2 linked regions of the Schizosaccharomyces pombe genome follow. The protein of the gene in region 2 purifies or fractionates together with the protein of the main gene of each other region. This does not show direct contact. Each region holds a gene or a part of one and is shown on either strand. Other genes may lie near its edges.

Region 1 (8,827 bases), 400 kb from region 2:
GCCGCTTCGTAGATCACCAGGTGACGGTGAGCATTTTTTGTATAGTCCAAGTTTTGTCAGCAAAATGCAATCAAAAGCTTTATCAATGAATTCTTAATTTTTATGATCTATTAATGTCGTTACTATCTTTGTTTTCTAGATTCTCTAAAAAAAAAGAAACATTCGAGTCAGATAATATTTAAATAATTAATCCTTCCATGCATCAACTCGCCGATATAAAACGCCAAGTGCGTCCTCGTAGGAAAGCGTAATTTCCTTTGTTTTAAAAAATTCATCTATGAAGTCATAATTTTTTTGATTAATCTCGATAATTAGTTTTTTAATAAGCTTATTTTCTCCCGATTCCAGAGATAGTAGCTCAACAGTTGACATTAATCGCTCGAATTTCAGCAAAGGATAGTCTGAAAATTCTAGTACAATCTGCATTGCATCCATTGCAAATTGTACACCTCCTCTCACACTGAACTGGTGGGTCATAACAATTTTTATCATCCAACTTTCAACTAACGTTCCAATCTGATATATAGCTTCGCATTGAGAAGAGCCAATCAAAAGCTTTTGGAGCAGTGCAATGATTTCTTTTAGCCTGGACTGAAATCCTACAATTTCTGCAGAAACCGATGTTGATAATAGAGCAGCACCAGGAAGTTGTTCCTTAATTACCCATGTATCAAGGTCAGAATAGTTGTCAAGTAACGGCCTTAACGTTTGCGAAACTGCACGTAAAATCATGCGAAAAGATCCATTTGTTAAAGTAGATAATCTAGGTTTGACTTGATAAAAAGCCGCATAGTTTTCTGATCCCATTTTATGTCCTATACGAATGTAGACATCCTCATCTTCAATATCATCAAGCCAATCCATGAGTAACTTGAAGTTACTGTAAAGTTTACACATCCGTTCAACTTCAGCAATATCAAACTTGGATTTGTCTGTCTGCAGACTACCAGGTAAATGAATAGATGATGAACTTTCATGAGATTCATAAAAGGCTTCCAACCAATTAACATACTGCATCATAGGCTTTAACTGAACAGATCGCCAAAAATTAAATTGATAATCAAGAGATGGTAAATTTTGAAGCACGGAAAACGTCGTCTCAATCATGTCTCGAAATCGTACAGTCATTTTCGTGGGGACCGCTGAGCTGAAATCATCAGACTGATCGCTTTCCAGCTCCCAAGCATCTGATGCAATTTTTATATCTTCCAACTTTGTGAGGCTCAATTGAGTCTCTAAACCCAACCATTTATCATAAGTTCCGTTTTGCTCAAAAAGAAAAATAATTAAAGGGTCTTGGGTATAATGAAAATGTTGCTCCAACCGCACAGAGTATTGTAGGGTTTCGTGAACTAAATGAACTAAATAATCATCATACTTTATTATATGCGTTAATTTTTCCTTTGCAACGTTGTTTAGCAAATTGATAAATGTAAAAAATGGAGGGACGCCGGGAAAAAATTTTATATCACGCATAAGCATGTAGAAACTACGATTAGAGCGAAAAACTTTTAGTAAGAACTCAAAAAACCATTCTGGTTTTGACAATACATTTGTTTGCTTCTGAGACATAAAGTGGTAACGAAACTGGTTTACATAGGGGGTAATGTACACCTGCATAAATAATGGAAGACCTGTTTCAGAATCTTTAAACGATTGAATGGATCGGACAAAACCAAAAAAACTTTCAAATTTTGATGATTCCTTCAAGTTAGGGTTAATAGCAGGCCAATTAAATAATGTCTTAAGTTTTTCGGTGAGCTCGTTCTTCCATTTTTCTTTCACTTCTCTTTCCTTTTTCTGAAAAAGTAATTCGGCTATGTAATGTAAACAATCAGGTGCAATTTCTGTCTCATCTTTCTTCGTTGACAATGTCGAAAAATCGGTAGAAAAGTCTAAGAAATTTGCAACAGTATCGAGAGAAGCCGATTTTTTGACAAAGGATTGATATACGCATAATAACTCAACTGTGTCTCGGAAAATAGGCGTCGGGTCGGCAGGTATTGCTGAATCTAACCATGCGTCTTCAAGCCCTTCACTAGACCTTCGAAATGCGGCATCTTCGCGAGCCTGCCTCTTTTCTTCTTCGCTTAAAATAGGAAGTGAGTTAGGATCCGGAAGCTGAAGCTCATTGACTTCTTGTTGAAATTTCTCTACTTCATCTGACTTATAAGGATGCCGTGTTCTTGAATCAATAAAATCAATTAACTGTTGGGACATCATCAAAAAGTCCTAGGTGACCCTTCAATGAAGTTTCAGCTGCTATTTGGTTCTTTGTTTACTTCTCTGAACAGTTTTGGAATAGTCAATGTGTTGGCACGACTTTATTTACGGTGCTCGCTAATGTTGCTAATATCATATAGTTTGAAGTTTTAAACAATAAGACTATTGCAATATAAAGTGAGTAGTTTTTATTAAACAAAAATTAATATTCAATAAATTGTTGGCTTATACTTCCAAACTTGTGATTCTGAGTGGGTTATATTTGACAAAGATATGCTGATGGTTACACTTCGTCGCTTTTACGAAAAGAAGTGAATTATACGATATAAATAGCAAAAAAGTGTCTCAATTATTCAGGTCTATATTACTTTTATTAAGGACATTAAGATTTGTTGGTATCGACTGCGCATATTTCGAGACAGAGTATTTAGATGTTTAATGTCCTAGCGTGTGCCAAATAAGGAAGAGTTTTTATCCATTAAAAACAGTATAAGTATTTTCACTTAGAAGAAGTTCACTAAAGCAAATAGATATAAAGAAACAAAGATAAAATAACAAACATCATTGAACAGCACTTCGAATACATTAAAATTGTATTGTACTCTCGTACTTCCAATAAAAGGGGTATAAGTTAGTATATAAAATAAAATTCAAGGTAAATCTTCACTAAGAGATACTCAACTCATCAAATGTGGACAGAGGCATAGGCATTAAAGCTATGACAATCAATAAAAATTTTTGAGAGTAGCAGCGACAACTATTAAAACGAATTCCTTAAAATCTCTTGCATTTCTTTTGCCAACGTATTTGCTATTGAAGTGTTAGTAGAACGAATTGATAGACGAATCAAATTTTGTTCGTAATTTGGTTCAATACGAAGTAAACATCCAACATTCTGTGTACCAAATCGAATAATTCCTGCTCCTACAATATTAAGGGCAATAGAATCAACATTTTGGCATATTCCCCAGTGAAATCCACTAACTATTTTTGTCAGTCGTTTTGCGTCAAGCTTTCTATCTTTGCTGTTGAGTCCGAAAGTTAACTGTGCTTCCCTTTCCACTCCCATTTGACCCCAATGGTTAAAGAAATCATAGCTGTCAAATATTGTCGGTTTCATAAATTTTGATAACAAAACCGGTAATTGGAGGTCTATCGAACGTATAACACCAGTAACATAAGACACATGAATAATCGGAGGTTCGAATATCTCATTAACTCCACTCATAACATATTTTTGCTGAAGTTGAACTCCTGATGGCAAATTTGTATCTTGAAAAGTTGTTGCTAAATGGAAGGTAGAAAAGGTTCTAATTAACGTTGAAGAGAGTGACTTCAACGTATTTGACTGTCGATTTTCATAATACAAATATATGGCGCCTTCTGAATTGTGATATTCTGAACGAACACCAATTTGTATTTGAGAATCTTGGTACAAAATTCCCTTATCTTTCCAACATAAACGATAAAACCCAGGAAGACATGCTGATATGTCATATTCTGGAACATCAATGGGCGTGGATGGTTTGGAAACATTGGGAATGGTTTGAGGATAGGTATCAACCAAATTTACCTTGCTGCTAGGACGTGACTTTGGATGCACTCCATCTCGATTTCCGTCTAAAAATGGGGGAACTTCATCACAAACCAATTGGAGAAAGTCCCTTGGCATTTTTAAAAGTTGAAGATATTCACATGCTCTTTGTTGTACTTCTGGATTTATAATAGTAGAATATTCCTGAAAAACCTTCGCAATTCTATCGTTCAATTCAGGCTGCAAATTTGCCAGTTTGATTAAAGTGGTTAAAAGCAGAACCCTCGTACTGGGAGAAGAAACATTCAGCTTACGATAAATTGTAGAAAACTGATGAACAGGTTGGCTGTCCGGGTAATCGGTAATTAAATGCCCAAATTCACCAAGAACATAACCTCCAGCTTTGACTAAGCATTCATGAATCGTTTCAGACTGTAGTAAGCTGAATAGCCGTTTGGTAGCATATTCCTGGATTTCTTCGTTGTTCACAATGACATGAACTAGCTGATGCCAGACGCCATCATCAGCGGATTTTCCAGCTATCCGAAGCAGTTGTATAGTAACATCGACATACCATTCATAGTCGGTAGCAAAGGTCTCTGAAATTATGGCAACCTTAGAAATAAGATCCTCCTGAGTTACTGAGTCAAGATGTGGTAAATACTGCAATAAATCGGCAACGATGAGTTTAGCATTTTCCTCGTCACACATCATATACAAGAGTTCTAAACTTTTTTTTCTAAGGGAAACATCCTTGTACCTCAAAGAGGATAATATTAATTCCTTATAATGCTTTAAAGAAGTGATAGAATGTCCGCATGAAATTAGATAGGCAGTCGTCTCAAAAGCCAAATACCGAATATTGCTTTCTTTATCAGCGATCATGTCAGCAAGTCTGTCCATACATTTTTCGTACAAAGAATGAGATTCGTCGACTAGAAAAGCCAGTTTGATGGCTTCGAAAAGGATAGCATTCACCGCATTTACTTGTTGTACGTTTGAGTTATCATTTGGCAAACTAAGGATTCGATCTAGTACACGTATTAGAGTTGCCCTTGTGGGATTGTCCGAAGGCCTTTCGCAAGCAAGTAGAATACGACAAAGATTAACCTGTAGCCAAGGGCAAGGTACAGAATAATACAAATAGTCACTTGAATAACCGTGTTCAAAAACTATGTTCTTCAGTTTACCAACCGCTTTTCCATAAGCAAATTTTTGATATTTTGGCTCCCGAATTACGATTAAATTAACAAAATTAGAGACCGCCAACGAAACGTTAAGGTCATCATCACCTAGTATCATAACTATCGGCTCAAACCATTCTGGGTTGATTAGATCCGGAAACTTTCGATAAATATGTAGGAGAGCTAAGGCAGATTTCTGACGAACAATATTTTCGTTGCTTGCCGACATTAGAAGTTTATAGATGTCGTAGTACACGGTTTCACATAATTCTCGGCCACCAATGTTGGCTATTGTATGCAAGGCCAACGAATTTTGTAAAGAGTCATGACTCAAAAGATCTTTTTTAATACTATTTATAACCAACTTCATCAACTCATGGTTCTCGTTTAGCAACAAAGCAACTGCCAAATAACCAATGAGTTTTTCACTATACTTCGTCCCTGAAAGGAGTTTTGCAGCTTCCATATGGCCAAAAGTGATGGGATAACCCAGCATATATATATATAAAAGCTTGCTGACATATTTTTTTCGGTCATACGCAGATAAAGTAGAACTTTGAAACTTTGCACGAATTTTAGCCAATTCAACATTTACACGTTTCTCTTCATCGTCATGCTCTAAACTTCTCAAATCCGAGATAAACGCTCGAAGCCCTTTCATATTGTTGCTAGCCACCATTTTTTACTATTTGTATACTTTGTGAGCAATCACACTTTTATCGGTATTGTAACATGCAATATTCTTATAAACTCAACCCAAAAGATTCATTACAATGGCACTATATCCAAATACCCACCAATTGAGCTTTTGGCTTAGAACAAACAAAGTTGTAAGAAGCGACGCGCTGTTCAAACAATACTTTTTCGTATTAACTTCATTTTCGTTAATAGAAATTATCGTAGGGGGACGTAGCCCATGATTTTCAAAACAACGTACTACCTAGTATTACTTTATATACCAAAGTAAACAAAAGATTAATTTTTAGAAAAAACGTGATGAATGCAAAGCCGGGTAATGGAACTGAATAGAAAATGCTTTCATCTGTTTCATACAAACACATGTGCCTAAAATATTCGACTTGGGTTTGCGTGGATGAGAAAATTAATTTATGAGCATCAGTACAAAACATTTCATTTAGAGCAGCCATCCAATATTGAATTTAAGCATATTTTGCTGTGTTCTTACTTTTTACAGAAAACTCAAAACATTTTCTAGCTTCAAGGTGTCTCTCAAACGATAAATCTGTATTAAATAGTTAGCAGGTAAGCCGATTCCGAGTGAAATGGATTAAATCATATTATACATGAAGCCGTAATAATTCCGGATACTGAAGGGCCTTTGACTTTTTTTCAACAATTGGAATATCAATTGGTTTTGACAAGTCTTATTTTGCTTTTGGAGGCTAATTTCTCCCATTAAAGAAGCAAAACGAAGTATCATTAAATTATAACGTGTCTAATAATTTTAGTCTTCACGCTTTGTTTCATAAAAACGATTTTGTTTGCATGGGGCAACTATGCAAGCAAACCAGTTATTTTTTTTATAGACTTTGTTGTCTCAATAATCTTTTCTTTCAGGTTGTATCTTCCCACTTTTTTTTCAATAAAATTGGACTTAAAATATGGCTGAAATAAAATGAACCAGTTATTTTATAAGAATTGTAACAAAATAAGATGCATTTGGAACTTGGAAAAAACAATCAATTCTTTCAAATTTTGAACTACTATAACTAAAGCTTGAAAACATTACAGGAATCGATTTATAGACATAAATTGAAGGATACAATTAAACTCAATACATAACTACTTTCCTAAAATATTTTTTTACATAGAATTATATATAACAACTCTTTAGCTGAAGAGTTCGTGTTAAAACAGCTGTCAATCTTGAATCGAAGAAAAATTGAAAGTTGGATTTCCTACATGAAATGACGCTTTAAACATTCCTTTTTTTTCATAATATTGAGGAAATACCATATTTACTGAAGATTAAAATTTTGTAAAATTCCTCTTAACTTTTTTCTTTGGCTCATGTATCCCTACTTCCACAACCATTATTTTTGGAACTTTTTTTTGAACTATATTGAGTTACAAGTATATTTATTTCTTCGTAATTTTGAGTCAATTGGTAATACAAGCAGTATAGTTCAGAAAGTCGAGAATGAATATCTCACTGAAAGGAGCTATTTTTTCAACTGTTGGGAGATTTAACTTACCCAAAGTTCAAGGATTTATAAGATGGAACTCGACAATGAAATCACAGCAACCAACGCTGTTTTCAGAGGTTGCTTCTCTTTCTAGTACTTTCAAAAATAGTTTGTCTCGCGCAGGGTTCGAGAAAATGACTCCAGTTCAGCAGCGGGTATTGAATGAAGTTTTTCCTAACGAAGAGAATGCTGTAGTGCAGGCAAAAACAGGTACAGGAAAGACTTTGGCTTTCTTGTTAGTGGCCTTTAAAGATGTGCTTAAGGGAAAGCCACGTTTGAATTCCTCCAAAATTCACTCCGTAATCCTTAGCCCGACAAGAGAATTGGCCTTACAAATTTTTGAAGAAGCTAGAAAATTGACTTATGGGACGGGAATCCGCGTTTCTTATGCCATTGGCGGAAACTCAAAGATGAGAGAGGAAAATGCAATTCGTCGTGGTAATGCCAATCTTCTGATTGCAACTCCTGGGCGTTTGGAAGATCACCTTCAGAATCCAAGGATTCTTGAATCTTTATCTACTGACTCTTTCATTTTGGATGAAGCTGACCGTTTAATGGATATGGGGTTTGCTGAGTCAATTTTGAACATTCATGAAGCTGTCACAACTACTAAGACCAGGAAGTTGTGTTTTAGTGCAACAATGCCGCCAAAAGTCTCTAACGTTTTTCGTGGAATTCTTGGGACTGATTTTAAGCTCATAAACTGTCTGGATCCAAACGAGCCTCCTACGCATGAGCGTGTGCCCCAATTTGTTATAGAAACCAAGCTCGATAAGGTATTCTCTTCTTCTCTCTCACTTTTACAACAACTCACTTCTTCAAATCCCTCAAGTCGTATTATCGTTTTTCTTCCCACCATAAGCATGGTTGACTTTGTTGGCGGAGTTTTAGAAAATCATTTGAAGATTCCTTGCTTTATTTTACATTCCGGTTTAACTACTGCGCAGCGTAGATCTATTACAGAAAGCTTTAGGAAATGTCAAAGTGGTATTTTATTTGCTACAGATGTTGTCGCACGGGGAATGGATTTCCCTAACATTACCCAGGTTGTCCAAATAACTGGTCCTAGCAATACCGATGATTACATTCATCGAATTGGACGTACGGGTAGGGCTGGTAAAACAGGAGAGGCATATTTAATTCTTCTGGAACAAGAGAAACCTTTTTTAAATAGTATCAAACATTTACCTTTAAAACGGGCAACTATCGAGCCCTTATCAGATCAAGCTCTCTCAACTTTGAGGTCGGATATTGAAAAGTCATCGAAATTTTCCCGTACAAATGCTTTGAAAACTCTGTATGGGTCTAAACCTCATGTCTTCTCTGGTTCGTCCCAAAGACGAGCCACCGGTAAGAACATTCATGAATCTGCTATTGCTTTATTTTCTTTACATGACGTTCCTGGCTTAATGGAAGAACTTATATACAAGTCAAGAGGTAGAGGTTCACCAAAAGGTTTTAGGGGATCTCAATTAAAATATCCATCATCTTCATCTTCCTCCTTTCAACGACGACCTCGTTCCCTTCCTTCAAGAGGTCGCTATCAACAAAGTCGTCGCTAGTTCCACCATGACAAAAAAACAAAACATTTCATTTCTCTGATTATTAAAAATTAAAAAAGGATGTACATTACATGTGATTTCACGCATAATACTGACGATCGTTATACATTTCTTTTA
Region 2 (7,191 bases):
CTACTGACTTTTTCGCTTACAGTTCAATACCCATTAGTAATATTTTGAATACCTTTCTCATTCGAAAATATAGCTTCCTTCTTTATCCCCCAAATCCCCTTGTTGTAGTCAGTTCATTCTCTGTCAGATAAACCCTTTCTCACATTTATTCATTTGCTTCATTAGTAGATTTGAGCATTCGCAGTCATGCACTTTTTTTGTATAATCAAGAACCCCTGCCGACTGTTTGTTAAATTATTATCTTTTGCCTTTTTTTGTTTAAAGCTTTCTTAAAATTTTTTCATCCTCCGATTGTCTATCCAACAGGAAAAGATCTTTCAAAGGATCTCCTTTTCAAAGGCATGCAAGGAAGAAGAAAAAGAACATTTGTTGATCAATGGAACGGTTAAAGACTTATATATAAGAATGACTAAGAAAACCGGCATTTGTAATAGAAGTGTAAGCGAACCATAGTAGTACATTAACCTTATGATCAATTAATCTACATAAACGGTCAATTCTAAAAAAAATAATACATATTGACTGGGAAACTCCTTATTTCATATATTAGAAAGGGACATTTATCAACTCTCCAATTAGTGCACTAAAACGCAGTATGGAAGGAACGATGCTAAGAACTGCTTCAACACTTTGTCAATAAACCAACAATGTCGGCTCCGTCGCCGTTTATTAAGAAACTTGCAGCTAATGGTAAATTTCTTACATATAAATGATTAATGTACTAACACTGTAAGATCGAAAAACTCGTGATAAGGCTCTTGAATCGTTGCAGCGGTTTTTAAGCCAAAAGAAAAAATTTGAAAGGTTAGACTTTCTCAAGCTTTGGAAGGGCTTATTTTACTGTATGAATTTTTTTGGGTTATGAATGTAAATCATCTAATTGTTTTTTAATATGCAGGCATGTGGATGGCTGATAAACCCTTATACCAACAGAAACTCTCAGATAATTTAGCCGCGTTGGTTCCAATTGTCTGGATAGACAATAGAATATTATTTCAATCTACTTTTTGGGAAACTATGGGTCGTGAATGGACGGGAATTGATATTTTACGAACAGACAAATTTTACTTGTTAATGCGTAGATTTTGTGCTGCTGCGTTTCGGGATATTCAAACAAGAAGTAAAACTGCTTTGCTGGACAAAGTAGTGGCTGAATATAATCAGATGTGGATGGATGGTCCTTTTAAGTAAGTTGTTTTCGTTCCCGCGTGTGGGAATTTGTTTATTATATAGATTGCTTTTGCGTTGGAGACTTTTAGAAAAGTTTTGCAACGCTTTTACTTCCTGCTTACATCAAACTTGTTGAATAGCTATTTCTTAATTTTTATCATTTTTCTGTTTATTTGGACAGACTACTAACTGCTTTTAGTACCGAAAATCTTGCTTTTCCAAATGGGATTTTATTCCATTTAGCTGATATATGGACTGAGGAATTAAGAAAAGTCTACCCAGAAGATGTACCAAAAGCGGACTGGTATCTTCCTTTTGATTCTACAATCAAGTCAAGTCATAATGTTGTCTTAAGAAAGACGCTTCCCAAACGTCTTGATCGGGTTTCTGAATATACAAAGGATTCACAATAATTAATTGATTCGGCACGTTTATTAGGTTTTGGTGAACTAAAAAAATATATTGGTGGTAATATACAACTTGTGGTTTGTAATAGACATTAATTATTCATATGATTGAACTTTTCATTTCCGTACCCCTACAACAAAAGTTTCGTAGTAATGCTGTTTCTTTTCTTTCTTAAGAATATCCAGATCGTCTTCATGTAGAGTAGATATGTGCTTATATTTTTATAACTCTTAAGAGGTGAAAAGATATAAGTAATCGATATTTACATCAAGTTGTAAAAAAGTGTAAAAACATGGGCTGTTGTGGGAATCGAACCCACGACCACCATCACCCTAAGATGGTATCATACCACTAGACCAAACGGCCACTATTGATTTATGTTGTCAAAAAGGTTTATACAAGACAAATGAGAATCGTTATATTTGATTGTTGCTTGACTTGTGTTTTAAACATTCCTAATGAACATTCGTAATCAATTACCCGACGTGCTTAGCAATAAATATTGGCATATACATTGCTCCCATTCGAATGCATAGTTGTATAGTACATGTACAATCAGGCCGCACAAATACATTCAACAACTGTAAGGTTGAGTAAAGATAATTACTCAAATTTAAAGACTTTTTGTGAGTAAAACAGTCAGATTGCAGTAAGACCTCGATATCATAATTAACCTCTAGAAATACACCATGTAGGAGTTTAAGATATTAAAACATACTATGTAAAAACGTTTTAACTGTCAGCAATACTACACTACGCTATGATACTCCACGTTGCATATCACTATATGTCACATGTTCACAATGTTCTATTTGCTCTATCAACTATTACATGATAAGTCATCAAGATGGAGATATAATATCATTCATGATAAGATAACTATCAGATATAATTCTTACTACTTCAAATATTATAAATTGAGAACAACTGAACCTCGTCCCTCAGTTCAGTTATAAGCTATATTAGTGATAGGTAACATTATAACCTAGTTAATACAATACCTATACTCAGTTGCTACTCATACAACCTGTGTATTGTAATATAATAGATCACAAGGAAAACTCACCGCAGTTCTATGTATCCTTAAATCAGATACCAAACTGCGTAGCTTACATTAACGCATTAATCTGATATATTATATTATTTTAACGTTGGACAAGAAAGTGAATGTTGCACGTTATATTATTTCAACTGAAACTTCTTCCTAAAGCATTTAATTTTCATACTAAATGCGACCGGAGTCACTAATAATTCGGTAGTTATAAGATCCTTGAACAGTGTTTGCTTTAATGTCTTGGCGTTCCTATTTGACAAATCTCAAACTCCCGACTTGATCAAACTAACAAAACTGTACCTCGTACTGCGTTCACTGTCATTTTTATGTTTCATGTATTCATTTTTGTAAATTATAAAAGATGGTATACTTTCTATCTATCTTGGTTTAGCGAATTTTTTTATAAGAAAAAAAACCTCAGTGTTATAGATGTTTATTTTTTAGTGATATATAACGAAAAATAAAATACTGGCTGAATTTAACGATTTGGTTTATATCATTGACACGTTAATATAAATAGCGAAAGAAAAGACGTTTCGCTAAATTATGCTACACTCAGCAAAGCTGCTGTCTACTTAGATGCAGATACTACCACTTTCAACCTTTACCAACCACCATGTCTCAATTTCCGGCTTTAGAAGACTTTGACGACGGTTTGGTTACCGCTCCTGTTGATGACTCTAAAAATAATACTGATTTCTTGGAACGCGAAAAGTTGGCACTTGGAGAGGATGCTGGACAATTCGAAACACCGGAGGATAAAGACGCGTTGTTGAATTTTGAAAATGATTCGGAAGCTGAACAAACTAGATTTGAACAGAACTTTCCTCCCATAGATGCTGAAATGCAAGCCTCTGGTACCTTTTCCGCTCCGAAAGCTCCTTACATGGGTCAAGCCGAAGTTCATCCCCCTGAAGACGAAAGCGGTGACCCCGAACCCGTTCGCAAGTGGAAAGAGGATCAAATGAAAAGGATCCAAGAAAGAGATGAGTCTTCCAAAAAGTTGCGCGAATCTAATATCGAGAAGGCCCGCAAGGCTATTGATGATTTTTATGAGAATTTTAATGATAAGAGAGATAAAGTCATTGCCAAGTCGAGAAAAGAACAAGAAAAACTGTTGGAAGAAAATGAAAGCAAATCTACTGGAACTACGAGCTGGGAGCGTATCCTGAAGCTTATTGATTTATCCGATAAGCCTGAGGCTCATGGCCGCTCTACAGAACGCTTTCGTGAACTTCTCATCAGCCTTGCAAAAGATAGCAATGCTCCTGGTGCTGCCGGCACAACTGTATCCTCTTCTTCTTAGAGATAAAGCTCTCCAATCCTTTTTGCTTTCAATGCTTGCACACTACCCTTCCTTTTGACACAATTAGCAGTGTTTAAAATAATATCTGACTAAGAATTTTTTTTATAATTTATACTTTTTTAAGTATTCAGTTCTCATATAAAATTCTTTGTCTACCTACTACAGATTTGTAACTATACTTTTTCTTGGATCTGTGCTTTGATATTTAGGGTATGTCTGTTTATTCGTCCTTCCCTTATATTGCGTTTCATAACGGTATGCCGTCTCTTGGTGTACTGCTTACCGCTTTTTATGCTTGTTGATTTTGTCGACTTTCCACCCTTTAATATGATTTCTAAAATTATTTAAAAATACTTGAACCTTTTACCGTTGTAGCAAATACTGAACGTCCGTACTGTAGTTATTTCATTTAATGTGATTTGTATCTAGCTTCACTTCCATTTGCCGCATAAACTACTGGACGATTTTTCATTGTCGAGATTTACAAGCGTAACGAATTTTGTGCAATTAATATATATTCTCTCTCTTTTAATATTTGCTCCTTTCAAACTTAAGTTTGCTATTGGGGTTTTAGATTTTACAGTTTCTTCTCAGTTGATATTGCTTAAAGGAACAATTTCCGCAGCCCTTTCTTTAAATGCCAAACTAATTACGGAACTGAATATTATTAATTTGCTAATCTTATATGCCAGCGAAGAAAAAAAAGAATAGAGTACCGATGTATTTAAAGATATGATTGAAAATTGCGTCTTGAGAGTACGCATGAATAAATTAATAAAACGAACAAGAGATACTTCACGTTTACGATCAAGGTTCAACTTTTCCAAGCTGCCATCTCATTAACTTGTAAAAGTTGGTACCAGGACGAGACAATCGTTCAAAAGACCCTTGCTCCAAAACTTTCCCGTCTCCAACAACAATTATTTGATCAGCTCGGCGAATAGTAGCCAATTTGTGAGCAATCGTAATGGTAGTCATACTACGATTATGCATCAAAGATTGAATCGTTTTATCCACCATTACTTCTGCTTCACCGTCTAATGCTGAAGTAGCTTCATCCAAAATTAAAAATGCTGGATTTCGAAGAAGTGCCCTAGCAATTGCAATGCGTTGTTTTTGTCCCCCGCTTAGTTGTAAACCACGAGTCCCGACTTGCGTAGACCATTTCTCCGGGAAAGAAAGCACAAAACTACAATTCGCTCGTTTGGCAGCATCTTCGATTTCCTCTTGAGATGCGTTAGATTTACCGTAAGCAATATTTTCGCCAATTGTACCAGAAAATAAAACCGGTTCTTGTCCAACTAAACCAAAATGACTGCGCCATTGATGAACATTATATGTAGAGATGTCAACTCCGTCAGCTAATATTTTCCCACTACTAGGTGCGTAAAAGCGCAAAAGGAGCTGTGAGATGGTGGATTTTCCACCGCCACTAGGTGCGACTATAGCAACATTGGTGCCTGGATGAATGTCGAAAGATAAGTTATCAAATATTGAAGCTGAAGGACGAGTTGGGTATGCAAACCCAACATTTCTGAACGAAAGTATTGCCTTTCCGACTGTGACTGGAACGGGAATCCCAACGGTTGGAGCTATCTTCGGTTTAGCATCTAAAAGTTCAAATAACCGACTAGCAGCTCCCAGACCTTTCATAATATCAGTAAAACATCCTGATAAGCCAACAATGCTTCCACCGGCATAAACGGTATACAGCAAAAATGAACTTAGCTGTCCTACAGTTATATCACCTGCAGCAACCATTCTTCCGCCTAACGCAAGAATAGCGATTACAGTTGCGTTCCCAAGGAACCCTGTTGACCCGAAGAAAATACCGCTAGCAAAAGCCTCTCGCTTTGCCAGGACAAAGAGATTTCGAATGTAATCGTTGTAACGATTTACTTCTTGTCTTTCTCCTAGAAAAGCCTGTGTAGTCCGAACATTTGCGAGTTTCTCTTCTGAAACCCTTGTTAAATCACCGAGAGCATCTTGTGTAGTCCTGGAAAGTTTCCGAACATACTCTCCATAAAAGAAAGCTCCCAATGCAATTGGGGGTACAATTAGGGACATATATCCAGTGAGTCTCATGGATACGTAGAGCATCATCCCTATTCCAGCAATTGCACTAACTGAGCTACGAAGACCATCACTTAAGTACATTGATAAAGACTTACCGACAATACTCGAATCCGTCGTAAGACGGGATATGAGATCCCCATGTTTATGAAAGTCAAAAAATGCTCCATCTAATGACATGCATTTAGCAAACAAGCGTGCTCGAAGACGACTGACAATTCTTTCACTCAGTAGACGCAAGGTGATGATTCTACCAAAGTTACAAGCTGAACCAAGGAAAAATAAACCCAACAAACCAATATAAAACGTACCAGAAGGAATTCCCATGATATGCGTGACAGAAGAATCGCCTGACGAGCCAGCGTCTAAGATTTTGCCAACAATGTAGGGAATGGACATTGTAACGCCGGAGGAAACTAAGAGAAGAGATCCAGCAATAAAAAAATTCCATCCCTGACCCCTTGCTAGTGTGAAGAGACGAAAAACATTGACTTTCTTGTTTGGTGTTTGTAATGTACCATTTGTATTTATTTTTGAGATATCCTGTGCTTGCTCATCTTTTGATGGAACTGTAGAATTATGTCGCACACACAACTTTAAAAAAGCAAGTGATCGTATAGGAAGAATAGATCTAGAAAAAGGTAACGGAAAACTATTTTTAAAAGGATATATCTTAGAACCACTTGAGGCCTTTTGAGATAACGAGTTTAGGCTCACATTAACCTGTGAAGATAACTTACTGGTACTATAATATTCTGCATTTGGCGTGGGAAGTAATAGAGTATTCGTACTTTTGTAAGCCACGTTGTTTTTCAACCAAGTCAACGGTACTAAATAGTTTGCTCGAAATATTACGCGTTTATTGTAGCAGTGAGCGAATGGTACTCTCGAAAGTCCAAAACGTATTGGATCCATCCATGAATGTGCCTTTCAAAGGAAATGAACGGAATCTTTTCGAAACGGGGTTTACACAGGCTTTTGGCAACAAAAGGTGCGCAAAGTATGTACAAATAAATTATTTAATATATACTTTTTATTAGTATTCGTTCTATCAAATTTTCTCTTCTCTACGGTATTAGTAGTTTCGATAGAATTTCCACGAAGTACTCTACATTCGCATAAGGTAGGTGCTTTGGTACATACTAAGATTTCATTTACCTTAACACAACCACTTCTCTAC

Evidence for each region.
Region 1: the proteins of clc1 (region 2) and apl3 purify together in Schizosaccharomyces pombe (co-purification; one study listed by BioGRID). This does not show direct contact.

The regions. Positions count from the first base shown.
Region 1 is NC_003423.3:1,421,687-1,430,513, forward strand, and holds apl3 (AP-2 adaptor complex subunit Alp3), read right to left. Parts: upstream 5,762-8,827; 5' UTR 5,621-5,761; coding exon 2,984-5,620; 3' UTR 2,542-2,983; downstream 1-2,541. Other genes in the region: palmitoyltransferase Pfa5, read left to right, coding at 1-97; drp1 (RINT1 family protein), read right to left, coding at 187-2,223; ATP-dependent RNA helicase Mss116, read left to right, coding at 7,103-8,710. UniProt on the Schizosaccharomyces pombe protein: Adaptins are components of the adaptor complexes which link clathrin to receptors in coated vesicles. Clathrin-associated protein complexes are believed to interact with the cytoplasmic tails of membrane proteins, leading to their selection and concentration.
Region 2 is NC_003423.3:1,823,915-1,831,105, forward strand, and holds clc1 (clathrin light chain Clc1), read left to right. Parts: upstream 1-3,238; 5' UTR 3,239-3,248; coding exon 3,249-3,938; 3' UTR 3,939-4,284; downstream 4,285-7,191. Other genes in the region: Nop52 family nucleolar protein, read left to right, coding at 648-690, 735-842, 899-1,187, 1,370-1,583; mdl1 (peptide-transporting ATPase), read right to left, coding at 4,746-6,926. UniProt on the Schizosaccharomyces pombe protein: Clathrin is the major protein of the polyhedral coat of coated pits and vesicles.